3 linked regions of the Ovis aries genome follow. The protein of the gene in region 3 purifies or fractionates together with the protein of the main gene of each other region. This does not show direct contact. Links are inferred from orthologs where the notes say so. Each region holds a gene or a part of one and is shown on either strand. Other genes may lie near its edges.

What was found. The genes of interacting proteins can lie anywhere in the genome.
Region 1: the proteins of MIA2 (region 3) and PREB purify together in Homo sapiens (affinity purification with western blotting; 3 studies listed by BioGRID and IntAct, with this or other methods). This does not show direct contact. The link is inferred for Ovis aries from reciprocal best matches to the Homo sapiens genes MIA2 and PREB.
Region 2: the proteins of MIA2 (region 3) and MIA3 purify together in Homo sapiens (affinity purification with western blotting; 6 studies listed by BioGRID and IntAct, counting the BioPlex papers as one, with this or other methods). This does not show direct contact. The link is inferred for Ovis aries from reciprocal best matches to the Homo sapiens genes MIA2 and MIA3.

The regions. Positions count from the first base shown.
Region 1 is NC_056056.1:34,211,779-34,216,362, reverse strand, and holds the start of PREB (prolactin regulatory element-binding protein), read left to right. Parts: upstream 1-1,745; 5' UTR 1,746-1,948; coding exon 1,949-2,083; intron 2,084-2,858; coding exon 2,859-3,051; intron 3,052-3,238; coding exon 3,239-3,459; intron 3,460-3,648; coding exon 3,649-3,729; intron 3,730-3,829; coding exon 3,830-3,954; intron 3,955-4,160; coding exon 4,161-4,334; intron 4,335-4,464; coding exon 4,465-4,537; intron 4,538-4,584. Other genes in the region: PRR30 (proline-rich protein 30), read left to right, coding at 1-465.
Region 2 is NC_056065.1:25,332,713-25,337,288, forward strand, and holds the start of MIA3 (transport and Golgi organization protein 1 homolog), read left to right. Parts: upstream 1-1,737; 5' UTR 1,738-1,762; coding exon 1,763-1,895; intron 1,896-4,576.
Region 3 is NC_056071.1:46,982,625-46,986,433, reverse strand, and holds part of MIA2 (melanoma inhibitory activity protein 2), read right to left. Parts: intron 3,040-3,809; coding exon 2,917-3,039; intron 1,698-2,916; coding exon of another isoform or gene 1,686-1,697; exon of another isoform or gene 1,452-1,685; intron 1,304-1,451; coding exon 1,183-1,303; intron 1-1,182. UniProt on the Homo sapiens protein: Plays a role in the transport of cargos that are too large to fit into COPII-coated vesicles and require specific mechanisms to be incorporated into membrane-bound carriers and exported from the endoplasmic reticulum.

The DNA.
Region 1 (4,584 bases), on a different chromosome or scaffold from region 3:
CTCCGCACCCCCTCTTGCCCCATCCCCAGATACAGGACTGGACCCAGGTTGCTTGCTTTCCCCCAGCTGCTGCCCTGTGCCCAGGGCAAGAAATCCGGACCGCTCCGCATGGGCATTGGCTTTGGCCTCCGCCTGCCTCAGGGCCAGGCCAAGGCTCTGCATCTGCTGTCAAAAAGAAGGCTGGAGGAAGCAGGGCCTCAGGCCAAGGCTGCTCAGGCCAGTGGGTGTCAAGCCCAGGTAGCTCAAGCCCCAGTAGCTCCGGCCCAGGCAGATCTAGGGCCAGGCACCCTCTCCCAGAACGGGAGCCTCAGGTCTGTAGGCCGCCAGTCACTAAACTCCACAAGCCATTCAGGGTCTCTAACTCAGGCACCAAAACAGGCTACGGTCCACTTGAAGCCCAGGCCTTCCTCTGCCCCAAAGAGACCTGCCTCTCCAGGGCCCATTCCCCAAAAGTCACCACTCTAGTTCTAGAGCCACGGAGGCCCCCTGGAGCACCTCCTCTGAATCCCACCAGCCCTGCCCGGCCCCAGACCTCAGGGAGCCCCCGAGACACTCTGAAGGGCTGGCTGGCTGGAGGTCAGGTGTGTTCTCCAGTCCTGAATCCTGGGAGCCCCTTGTGGAGTCTGCTTTCTCCTGGCTGAAGAGGACCAAGGGCATCTCAGGCCCCACTCAGCCTTCTGTGTATCCAATTAAAAAAAAAAAAAAGCCTGACCCTGCAAAACTTGTGTTTGAGTCTTGCTGAGCAGATCTGTGGGTGGCTCTACGTTCAGGGTGACCAGAACCCAACAAGGGGTGCAGGAGAGTCAAAGTTAACAGAATGGTCAAGGAGAGTGCATGCGGTATATCTGAAGAGGTCAAGGGACCCACAAGACCTGAGCAACTGAGAGGTGCAGAAGGCTCTGCCAGGCCCTTCAAACATTTAACTCAATTTGGTGGGACAGTTAATGGCATCCCCAGAGATGAAGCCACTGGGCCCCCTCCTCTGATTGCACCTCAGATTAACGAAGACTCATGCTGATGTCGCCAGGGGAGCAGCAGGAGGTGTTTCCTTGAAGGGAAGGGTTCACTTTAGAGAAACAGGGAATCCCCACATTGGATGGAGATCAAAAACCCAAAGGCCCTCTCAGGAGGATGGGGGCTAGGCAGAGACCTTCAACTGCCTGAGGGCCAACTTGCCTATCTACCCATGAACCCTGAGGTGCCTGGACTGGGTGGGGGGCATAGAGAATGGCCAGCCCCAACCTCTGCAAACTTCGGAGGATTGGTGTTCATTATAAAGAGTAGCTTCCTCATACTAGGAAGCAGTGGCATCGGGATTTGAAGCCAAGTTTCTTTTCAAGTCCATGCTGCCTCCGTTTAAGAGGCAAGAGAGCCAGGAGTGTGACCTTGGATGAATCACTTTGTCTCGGGGCGGGGCGGTAAACGTAGGGCTATTGCTTGACGAGTCTGCAAGTCACTCTTGAAGTGTGGACAGCCCTGATCCGAGGATTTATTAAAGGCTTATTAACCTCCCTTAATCTTTTGGCCTGCCCCCGCCCCAAGCCAGACGTTTCCGTGAAGCGGCCGCCCGCCTCCACCGCCCCGCAGAAACATGGCGTAGTCTTCTGCCATCATCTGAAAGCGGAGAACGGAATTCATACACCCCCGTTCCGCCAGCCACAGGCTGGCTAGTGCTGACGCGTATCGGCGGCTCTGCGCCTGCGCGAGGAGAGCGGGCTTGGTGCGCCTGCGCGCTGCGCGTCTGCGAGACCGGGTTAGACGGCCCCTGGCAGTGTTAGGGACACTTACGGTGTGATTACAGTTTCGGCAGCTCGGCGGGTGAGAAGGGTCTGGAGTCTTCCCGGCAGCTACCGGACCAAGGTCCACAGCGGCCGGGACAGCAGTCGAAGGCCGGGCGCGGCATGTCCCGGGGACCTCGGCGCCGACAGTGAAGCGCGCGGCGAGCGGGATGGGTCGGCGCCGGACGCCAGAGCTGTACCGGGCCCCGTTCCCGTTGTACGCGCTTCGGGTCGACCCCAGCGCGGGGCTGCTCATAGCTGCGGGCGGAGGAGGTGCCGCCAAGACCGGCATAAAGAATGGCGTGGTGAGTATACAGGCCCGCTGGGGCCGGGTCTCAGAGCGGGCTGAGGGCGATTCCCGGAGGTCTGGGAGCGGGCCGCACCCCTGCTTCGGACCCTGCCCCTCCCGGGTGGGAACCGCGGCGTGCCGGGCGTCCCGGTGCGAATTTGTCTTGAACCATTCACTGGTGAATTGAGAGGCTCCTAAAGTGAAAACTGCACACAGCGCTGCCTAGGCAGGAACGCTTCAATTCGATCTCAGGAATCAACTCCAGGGATCGTAACCTGGCTTTCTTGGGGAGGCTACATAAGATTTGTCTGTCTGCCACTGGTAGCGGCGAGAGTGAAATACAAGCTAAGATTCTTCACTCTTTTGAGAGTTATCATGTTGTTCTGCAGACTAGATGTGATAATCCCAGCCTTGCTTGCTGTACGCAAGCAAGTGAAAAAAAGTGAAAGTGATAGTCGCTCAGTCGTGTCCGACTCTGCTACTCCATGGACTGTAGACCGACAGGCTTCTCTTTCCATGGAATTCTTCAGGCAAAAATACTGGAGAGGGTAGCCATTCCCTTCTCCAGGGGATCTTCCCAACCCAGGGATCAAACCTGGGTCTCCTACATTGCAGTAGATTCTTTACCGTCTGAGCCACCAGCGAAGACCAGTACACATGAGTGAGGCTCAAAAAAGAAAAAAGTTTGGAAAAAGTCTTTAAACTAGAAAATGCAGGTTCAGACTACAGGATGTAAGTTTGCCCTTGAGGTGCTCTCTGAACCTTACTTGTCCTGGTTCCCTCTCCCACAGCACTTTCTGCAGCTGGAGCAGATTAATGGGCGCCTCAGCGCCTCTTTACTACACTCTCATGACACAGAGACACGGGCCACCATGAACTTGGCCCTGGCTGGTAACATCCTTGCTGCAGGGCAGGATGCCCACTGTCAGCTCCTGCGCTTCCAGATCCATCAGCAGAAGGGCAAAAACAAGGCAGAGAAGGCAGGTGAGAGCCTCCCCGCTAGCTTTGGGCAAAGGGTTAAATTAATGAATTCTTGCTCATCTTGGTCTCTGAAGAAGTAGGGCTGGAGGTGGGATTATGGTAGCAAGAGAGAAGCTGATGTTCACCACTGGAAAGGGCCAGTAGGACTTATTCTAGAAGCCTGGAACCTGGCAGGCTGTTTGTGTTGCAGGTTCCAAGGAGCAGGGGCCTCGACAAAGGAAAGGGGCAGCCCCAGCAGAGAAGAAGTCTGGCGCTGAAACCCACCAGGAGGGGGTGGAATTCAGCGTAGAGAATTTGCACGAAGTGCAGACAGACTTCAGCCGTGATCCACTGCAGAAAGTTGTGTGCTTCAACCATGATAATACCTTGCTTGCCACTGGAGGGACAGATGGCTGCGTTCGTGTCTGGAAGGTGTGGTTTGGGGAGGTAGAGGATGAGTGTCAGTAACAGCAAGGCCAGAATTGTGAGAAACTGAACCTGGGTCCTGGGAAACTTGTGAGTAAAGCCTGCACTCAGTGGCCATTAGTAGAGAAGAGGAGTGGGTATCATTTGCACTCTTGCCGGGTACGTAGGCTGACTGTGGTGGTGGTTTGGCTGCAGGTACCCACCTTAGAGAAGGTTCTGGAGTTCAAAGCCCATGAAGGGGAGATTGAAGACCTAGCTCTGGGGCCTGATGGCAAGGTGAGGAGGTGAGAGGGTGGAGAAAGTAGGTGATGATGCTGCTTGTCCAGTAAGTGGATCCCCCTAACTGTCCATCCTTGGAATCTTGATCCCTGACTAGTTGGTAACTGTGGGCTGGGACCTTAAGGCCTCCGTGTGGCAGAAGGATCAGCTGGTGACACAGCTGCACTGGCAAGAGAACGGACCCACGTTTTCTAACACGCCTTATCGCTACCAGGCCTGCAGGTGTGAAGACCCCAGAGGGTGGCTGAAAGAGGCACAGCCTAGATGTGGTGGGGGAGTGGGAAAAGGATCAGGGGGAAGCTGGTGGGGAGGGGATCGGAGCCTTGTTGGGTGTTACCCCAGACCTGACCAGGGTACAGGAGGGCACAGACCTTTGAGGAGGGCTGGGCAGGCCCCGGGAGCTGAACAGCCTCTGGCTCGGCCCCCAGGTTTGGGCAGGTTCCAGACCAGCCTGCCGGTCTGCGACTCTTCACGGTGCAGATTCCCCACAAGCGTCTGCGCCAGCCCCCGCCCTGCTACCTCACAGCCTGGGATGCCTCCACATTCCTGCCCCTTCGGACCAGGCCCTGTGGCCATGAAGTCATCTCCTGCCTTAGTGTCAGGTATGAGACAGTGGTGGCTTGGCTGGGTATGAGGGTGCCCGGGGCAGCCCGGGGAGACATGCTGCCCACATCCCTGGAGACTGTTGCTGCTGCACAGGATTCCAGGACAGTGAGCGTTTTTTTGTTGCAGTGAATCGGGCACTTTTCTGGGCCTGGGCACGGTCACTGGCTCTGTTGCCATCTACATAGCTTTCTCGCTCCAGGTAATGGATGGACCTGGGCACAGCCCTGAGGGCTCTCTGGGGTAGAG
Region 2 (4,576 bases), on a different chromosome or scaffold from region 3:
TTGAGAGAGAAAAGAAGTTTGGGTTTCAACATATTAAGTTGGGGATGCCTAATAAACAAATCTAAGATTCTAAAGCAAAGAAACACATAGTAGAAAAGAAATGAAGAACTCCTAATGACAATACTATTTCCACAGTTACCTAATCTGTTGTATAGTCTCTCCAGACAGCATGGGAACAATACTGGACCAGTGGGACATCTTATGGCCCCTGTAGATAAACAACTGTGAACTCTTTCTCGTCTTTTTCTTTATCCAACATTATGGTTTGCATAGATGGACCACATTCTTTCCCCTTGCTTTTAAGGAATCCAGTCAGTTTGGGAAACTAATTAATGGGTTTGATTGGCATTTGGGGTTGGTTGATGATTAGCCTTGGCAGAGACTATAGAGAGAAGCCCCTGGCCATAGACAAATGCAATATCTTCATCTTGAAAATGAAGGCAGTAATAGGACCTACTATTATTGTGAAGATTAAACACATTGATACCTATAAGGACTTTAGAATACCACCTGGACATAAAGAAAACACTCAACAAATGGTAGCCGCTATTAACTAGCTTTTCCTTCCTAACAACTTTGGCTCCTTGTCGTTTTGATGTGAGTTGGTTTCTCCTGAATTGTGGGCTTCTTTAGACAAAGGCCTGATATCTTGTCTGTTGATCTACATGTTTGCCTTCACCACACTAGTGTTTTGTCCAGCGTCTGGCCTAAAATGGTAGCATAAAATGGAATTTCTACATATTGGCATTGAATTAAATTATTCTCCCCTTCTGGATAAGAGCTTCTCTGCTGGCTCAGACGGTAAAGAATCTGCCTGCAATGTAGAAGACCCTGGTTCTGTCCCTCAGCGGGGAAGATCCCCTGGAGAAGGGAATGGCTACCTACTCCAGCATTCTTGCCTTGACAGTATCCTTCTTGGACAGAGGAGGCTGGCGGGCTACATTCTATGGGGTCGTAAAGAATCGGACACGACTGAGCGACTAACACTTTCAATTTCTTATGGATGAACCCCCCAGAATCTGAAGATCTAAGCATGGGGACCCATTGCCCACCTCCATCCCTCAGGGCTAGGGGACGAGGGGTGCAGAAAAAGGCCAAGCAGGCCACAGGCTCTAATGTACATCACCGACCCATCATTCTGCTGACCCCTCCTTTTCCCATAAGGAGATCACAGGATGGGGATGCTCCCCCAAACTCCTGGGAGTCGGAAGAGGGAATCTCGAACTGGAGACTAGCAGTGGAAAATCGTGGGTGGGATTTGGTAGTTAGGAAAAAGAAGTATCAAACCACGAAGGGGAGGTGAGGATGAGCCAGACTGAGAAGGACCAGAAATCGGGAGCTGCAAGAAAGGGGTCAGAGAAGACCTGCTGTTGGGATGGCGCGGGGTGGGGGGTGCAAGGTGGAAGAGCAGAGTGAGCGAGGAATGGAGTCTCGCGGAGGGTCGGCGACGCAGGGACCGAGGCAAAGGCTCGCGATTGGACGAGGAAGAAGAGAGAGTCCCGGTTGCCAAGGCAGCCACCCGACGAGGAGGCCTCGGCAAGGAGGTGGGAGCGCGCGTCCTCCTCCTCCGGGACCCCCGCGGTCCCCTCCCCGAGGCCGCGCTGACGTGTCGGTGGCGGCCTCACAGGCCGGGGCGGGCGCCGCCCCTCCCGCCGCCGCGCGTCCGCCGCCCGCGCGCCCCGCCCCGCGGCCCGTGCTCCGCCCGCCGGCGCCCGCCCCGGCCGCGTCCTCCGCGTCAGCGGCTCCGCGGGGCGACCACAACATGGCTGCGGCGCCGGCGCTGCTCTTCTGGCTGCTCCTGCTCGGGCCGCCTCGGCGGGTGCCGGGCCAGCCGGAGCAGGGCCCCGGCCGGCGCTTCTCGCAGCTCAAGCTCTGCGCGGACCAAGAATGCAGCAGTGAGTGCCGGGAGGGCGGCGGCGGCGCCCGGGCATCGCGGGGGCGGGAGCGCGGCCGCCCCGCAAGCCGACCCGGGGGGCGCAGGCCGGGAGGGCGGAGCGCCGGCGGCGGGGGAGGGCGACCTCCGGGTCCCGGCGGCTGCCCCTCCCGCTCTCCGGGCGCCCGGGCCAGCCGGCCTCGGCGGTGGGGGGGGGCGGGGGTCTCTGCCTCCCACTTGTTGCCAGCCTTTCATTTTTCCTTCGCGGACGGAGGCGGGGGATGGTGTGAGGGGTTCGGAGGTGGCCCCCGGTTTCCCCGGGGGCCGCTCGCAACGTCCCCTCCGCCGGCTCGCCCCGGCTCCGAGGGGAGATGGGGTTGCGCGCCGCGCGCCCCGGGCTCCGCGCGCTGCCGGCGAGCGCTTTCCTGCCCCCGTCGCCGGGTCCTCGCTGGGTGCAGTCCGGGGGCGGATGCGCCGGGACTCGGTGGGCGGCTTCCCTGCCGCAGGTTGCTAGGGCTGGGAAAAACCTCCCTGGCGCAGCCCCTTCGCCCCTCTGCTTCAGTCACAGTCGGGGCTCGGACCGCCTTTTCAGCAGGGATTGGAGTTGAGGTTTGGGACGAGCCCGGAGTCCAGGCATGCTGTGTGTTCCAAGGTCTCCTCCCCGGCTCTTCCTCAGTCCTGTCATTTCTGTGCTTGGAAGGCTCCCGCAAATAGCCCGGAAGGAAGGGCATCGGGAAGGCCAAAATCTGTCTCTCGAAAGAGGACGAGACTCAGCGTCGGCCACCTGGTACCAGTCGTCTCTAATGCGCAGGAAGCGGAATTGTTCCCTAACCGCGAATTCGCGGTGGGCTGGTGATAGTGAGAAGGGCAGAGATCCCCAGACTCAGATGAAGAAGATTGTTAAAGTGAAAATAATAAATACCCCAGGGGTTTTATAAATCCAAGCCAGCTTGAGCCTTGATCAGTTACATTGTTGGGCTCTCTTCCTGTGTGTTTGCCTTGGGCCCCTATCATCGTCGTGGTCTCAAATAACCTTGTAACTTACTGACAACCATTTCACACAAGGTTGTTCATGTGTTGTAATCAGTGCATATAGAAAAACATTCCTTCTGAGGCCAAAGCCTACAGTTTAGCTATTTAGATTGAAATCAGTGTTATTCAAAAACAAATTTCACAATCGGAAGAACCGAAGCACTGCCACATCATTAGGGGAAAGAAAGGAGGCAGTCTTGGATCTGTTTAAGCCATTCCTAGAGGTAACCCTAAGACTGATGTAAATAAATGTTACAAAAGTGGAGCAACTTCCATCAGTTTTTCCTGCAGTTTTCTCAGAGTAAGTCCAGGTTATTAGCAAGCAGTGTTGGATATGGCCAGTGTTGGCTATGCTTTGCTTTCAAACACTGTCTTGCCTGGGTACCTCAAAACCAGTCATCTGGAAAATTATAACATCTCTAATGCTTCGTCAGTATGGAGACATGGTGTTAGAAGGGCCCATGGGTGTCACATAATTGGAGAATGGCATGTGTCCAACAAGTGTAGCCAAAGGCAATAGCCAGCAGCTAGAGCAGGCCTGGGTCCCGTGTTGTTTTACATAAAGTGTTTGTTTAGTGAGGTGTGTCCATGTTAGCTGTCCTTGTGTGCCTTTCAGATAGCTGCCCCACAGAGTGCATTATGTTGTCATCTGATTTATTATTATACCTCTGCAGTGATCTTCCTCTTTCCAATTCTGATAGGATCCCCAGTCTCTATCAATTTAAAAATTGTCCATCACCTTCAACTTTGCCTCTCACCTAATTATATCTGAATTAGAATGCTGACATGTATTAAAATAATCAGCTTCAAAGTCCAAATAACCCCCTTTAAATCTGTGTTTGTCCCTCAAATATGTATGTAAATATACATCTTAAGGTACTTATTGCCAGTTGGCTTTTAGAACAAGTGTTATTTCCGTTTCATCCTTCCCTTTCTCTGCTATTTAATTGCATTTGTTATCTCATTTGACGAAGTGTGAATTTGGCCAACAAAAAGAAAAATACCGCTTCTATCAATTTCTAGATCGAATATAGTTTAAGTCCTGCATGTTAAGACTGAAGGTAACTACTGGACAGTTCTCATGGTTTTGCTTGTCCCTGCTACCTACCATTTTGCTTATAGAAACAAAGCCTGTTTGCCCACTTTTGATTTTGTTTATAGAAATAAACCTCCTTAATGTTGGATATATTCAACATTATATGATTTCAGAAGATATTATCTTATGTGATTGGATCCATAATTGGGTATGATATCCTCTCTCATTAATTTATCCAGATACTGACAGAGCAGCTTGACTGCAAGTGAAGTGGAAGGTGTTTACTGTTACACAGTAGCAGTTACAACCACTTAAAGATAGGGCCTTTTAGTGGTTAGTTCAAGTTAATTGACCTCTTGGGGGTTCTTGGGTGCTCTCCCCAGTTACCTGTTACCACTGCATGTAGTCATGCTCACACTAGTCGCATCTGTGCTTGAATTTACCCAACTGCAAAATGAAGCTTTTTATAATTATGAAACAGCAAAGACTGAAAGCTAGGTGATTAGAGAGGGAACCAAGAGTTTCACTTGAGACCAGCCCTGTGTGGCAGTGGACGCATTGCTTTTTGTTTGCATTATCCATAGAGAAAAACGCGTTGAGTTTACCTCTTTCCTGCCTACTTGCAGGGGGATGTC
Region 3 (3,809 bases):
AGTCACCTAAATCTAGCCCCCAGTTTCGATTATTCTTAGAATTCCTCATCAGACAAAATATGAGCAGAATTATATTCCAAATTAAAATAACATTAACCATGAGCTTTCTCATAATAACTAATTACAAGATAAAGCAGAAGTAAAAAAGTACAAACAGAACTATATGTATTTACTTTGGAGCGTACTTTTCTTCCAAGACATTAATGTTATCATGAAAGAAATTCTTTAAAAAAATCACTCCTTCTCCTTAACACATTTTTTACTGATATAAAGGACGGAGGGAGAGAAAAGAGAAAGGTTACAAAAGTCAGAGAAACTATCATTGGGGGAAACTCAATGAAGATACCTGAGACCTCTTTTGTACTGTTCTTACAGTCTTCTGTGAGTCTATATATCAAAACAAGAACAAGATGTTCTTTTTTAAAGTCAAAAGAACTGTTCTGAAAATATACTAAGTGGCTATAGGGAACCTAACTTTTGCTGAGTTTTCATACTGCAACCAGCAACGGCAATAGACTTTGGGATGGTCAAAATTAAAGTACTGTCACCATATGAAGAATCTAAAAAAATGCATCCTAAGGCGTTCATTTATATAACACTCAATTTTCCAACTACTCACCCATCCATTTGATCGGCTTACAGTACAGGGGAAAACAGGCATGGAAAGAATTATGACGCAGTATGAAGACTGCTATGGTCGTGGTGGTGGTTTAGTTGCTAAGTCATGTCCGATTCATGTGACCCCTTGGACTGTAGCCCACCAGGCTCCTCTGTCCATGGGATTTCCCAGGCAAGAATACTGGAGTGGGTTGCCATTTCCTTCTCCAGGGGATCTTCCTGAACCAGGGATCAAACATGCGTATCCTGCATTGCAGGTGAGTCCCCACACTGCAGGCAGATTCTTTACCACTGAGCCACCAGGGAAGCCAAAGACTGCTATGATGTACAACACACAAAAAGAACAGAGGTGAGGAAGGCTGAAAGTCTATCTATCTGAGGCGCTGAAGACAGATTTACTGAAATGGAGCTATCCTAGCTGACAAAACCACGAGGGATAGTGAGAGAGGAAAAGAATGTTACACAAGTATATAAAGAGTATTATAACAGCACATGGGGAACTAAAAGGATATACCAGAGCCAGTCGTCATTTTCAGTAAAAGAAGATGAGTTATGACTTAATACCTAGGTACGCATCATTTTCTGAGTCACTCTTCATTTCCAATTCCAAGTTATCATCGTCTGCAATGTCTTCACCAAGCACAGCAGTCCAGTCTTTCATCTTTCGTAAGCGCTCTGTCAGAGACTTGACATTTACCAAAGGGGGAAACAAAAGAGGGTAATGCCTTATGCTGGCTTTATAACCTCTGAATGCACAACCGTAGTCTAAAAATTAATCCACACAGATAAAAGTACATGAGCTCTTACTCTCTACCCAGCATAAAATATGTAAATGCTCTCAGAAACTAACATTTATTTACTATTAAGGTGTACAAGTTAAAAATAACAACTGGTTACTCTTAAATCAAATATGAAAAGTGAAAACTGAAAGTGTCAGTCGCTCAGTCAGGTCCGACTCTTCGTGACCCCATGGACTGTAATTCTCCAGGCAACAATACTGGACTGGGTAGCCATTCATTTCTCTAGTGATCTTCCAACTCAGGTCTCCTGCATTGCAGGTGGATTCCTTACCGTCTGAGCTACGAAGAAAGCCCAAATCAAATAAATATAATACCTAGTAATGGCCCATTTTTTCTAAACGTACCACATGACTATACAGTAACAAAATATTTCTTACATGGTATTTCTCACCAGCCACAGTAAGAGTAGTCATTAACGTGAGAGTAAATTTTGTGTGAAGTTAAACAAATCCCCAAGTAACGTACATGATATATGAAAAAAGAGATTTCACAGATTCAATTTATTCAAGTAAACAACTAGCCGAGGGAATCAACTGACACAACTGACAAATAGAAAAAGAAATTGTAAAACAGAATCTAAGTTGGAACATCAGAGGTTTTGCTACAGTACTTTTTGAATTTTCTTAGAGAGGCTCCTCTGTCCATGGGATTCTCTAAGCAAGAATACTGGAATGGGTTGCCATGCCCTCTTCCAGGGGACTGTCCCAACCCAGGGATCGAGCCCAGGTCTCCTGCAATGGCAGGTGGATTCTTTATTGTTGAGACACTGAGGAAGCCCCAAAAACATCCTTAGTAGTGAAGTAAATAGTGTAAATGTATAGCTTTCAAGATGACATCATCCACTTCACTATGCAGGTTACAGAATGTTAGTTGTACATCTTATTAGTTAATACAATAAACAATATTTGAGTATCTATTAAGATTTAAAAGTGTAGGCAGGAAAAACTGGTAGAAGGGAGAGATAAGAAGTAGGAAAAAATCAATAAATCATAACAGTAATACCAATTATCTTATTCCTAATGGAGTTAAAGTACAATTAGATTTACTTAAAATATTCATCTCTGTAAAAGTACATATACCAGTTAATCTAGGCATTAAAGATATTCATATTTATATTCAATGCATATAATTTCATTTGTCCAATTTATAAAATTCTTTCCAACTCTTCTCATTAAGAAAAAAGATGGCAATCTTAAGATAAAAGCCAAAATCCAAAATCTTTTGTCTTTCTTCATTAAATATCTAGGCTAAAACAGAAGAGAGAAGAAAAAAGGACACAGAGAATGTGTGTGTGTGTGTATGTGTGTATACACACTACAAATCTACAAGTTTTCAAAGAACATTTGGCAACACGGATAAAAACACAGTACAACTAGTAATGTTTGCCAAAAAGTACATCTCCTCAAAATAAAAGCTGCTAAAAACAAAACTTTTTATATTTCAAAATTAGTATAAAGTTTTAGCTTAACTCAGTCATTAAACTAGCAGGGCTGTTTACCTTAATCTGATTTTCTTTATCACACAGAACTTGTTCCATATGTACTTTGGAGTCTTCAAATGTTATTTTCTGTTTATTAAGCTCATTCACTTGTTCTCTCCATTCTTCAGCTTCTTGTAAAAGCTAAAATTTAAGCCCCAAAGAAGAAGAAAAGCAACTCTTATTATCTCATCATATTTATATGCAGGTACACTTATTCATGGGCTTCTCTTGTGGCTCAGCTGGTAAAGAATACACCTGCAAAGCGGGAGATCTGTGTTCCATTCCTGGGTTGGGAAGATCCCCTGGAGAAGGGAAAGGTTACCCACTCCAGTATTCTGGCCTGGAGAATTCCATGGACTGTACAGTCCATGGGGTCACAAAGAGTTGGACACAACTGAGCGACTTTCACTTTCACACTTATGTATATAAGGTGTATCATTAAAAGAACCTCACAAAAAGAGGAAGTAATTCATATTATTGCATCAAACTCAGGTGCAGATGCACTTATTTATATATACCTAGGTGCACCACTAATAAATAGGCTTCCCCGGTGGCTCAGTGGTAAAGAATTTGCCTGCCAGTGAAGGAGGCCTGGGTTTGGTCCCTGGGTTGGGAAGATCCCTTGGCGACAGAAATGGCAACCCACTCCAATATTCTTGCCTGGGAAATGCGATGGACAGAAGAGCCTGGTGGGCTAGAGTCCATGGAGTTCCAAAGAGTCCAACACAACTTAGCAACTGAGCACGCATGCACCACTAATAAATATTATGCAACGCAGTGTGTTGCTAGGAAGAGTGAGGAAAAATGAGGTGGTGGGGAAGAAGGAGTGTCATGAAGAAAGGAGGGAAGGGAGGAAGGGCTCCTTTTTTCAAAGAACTTTTAAAACGTGGGCTTTAAAGTAAAATAACAGA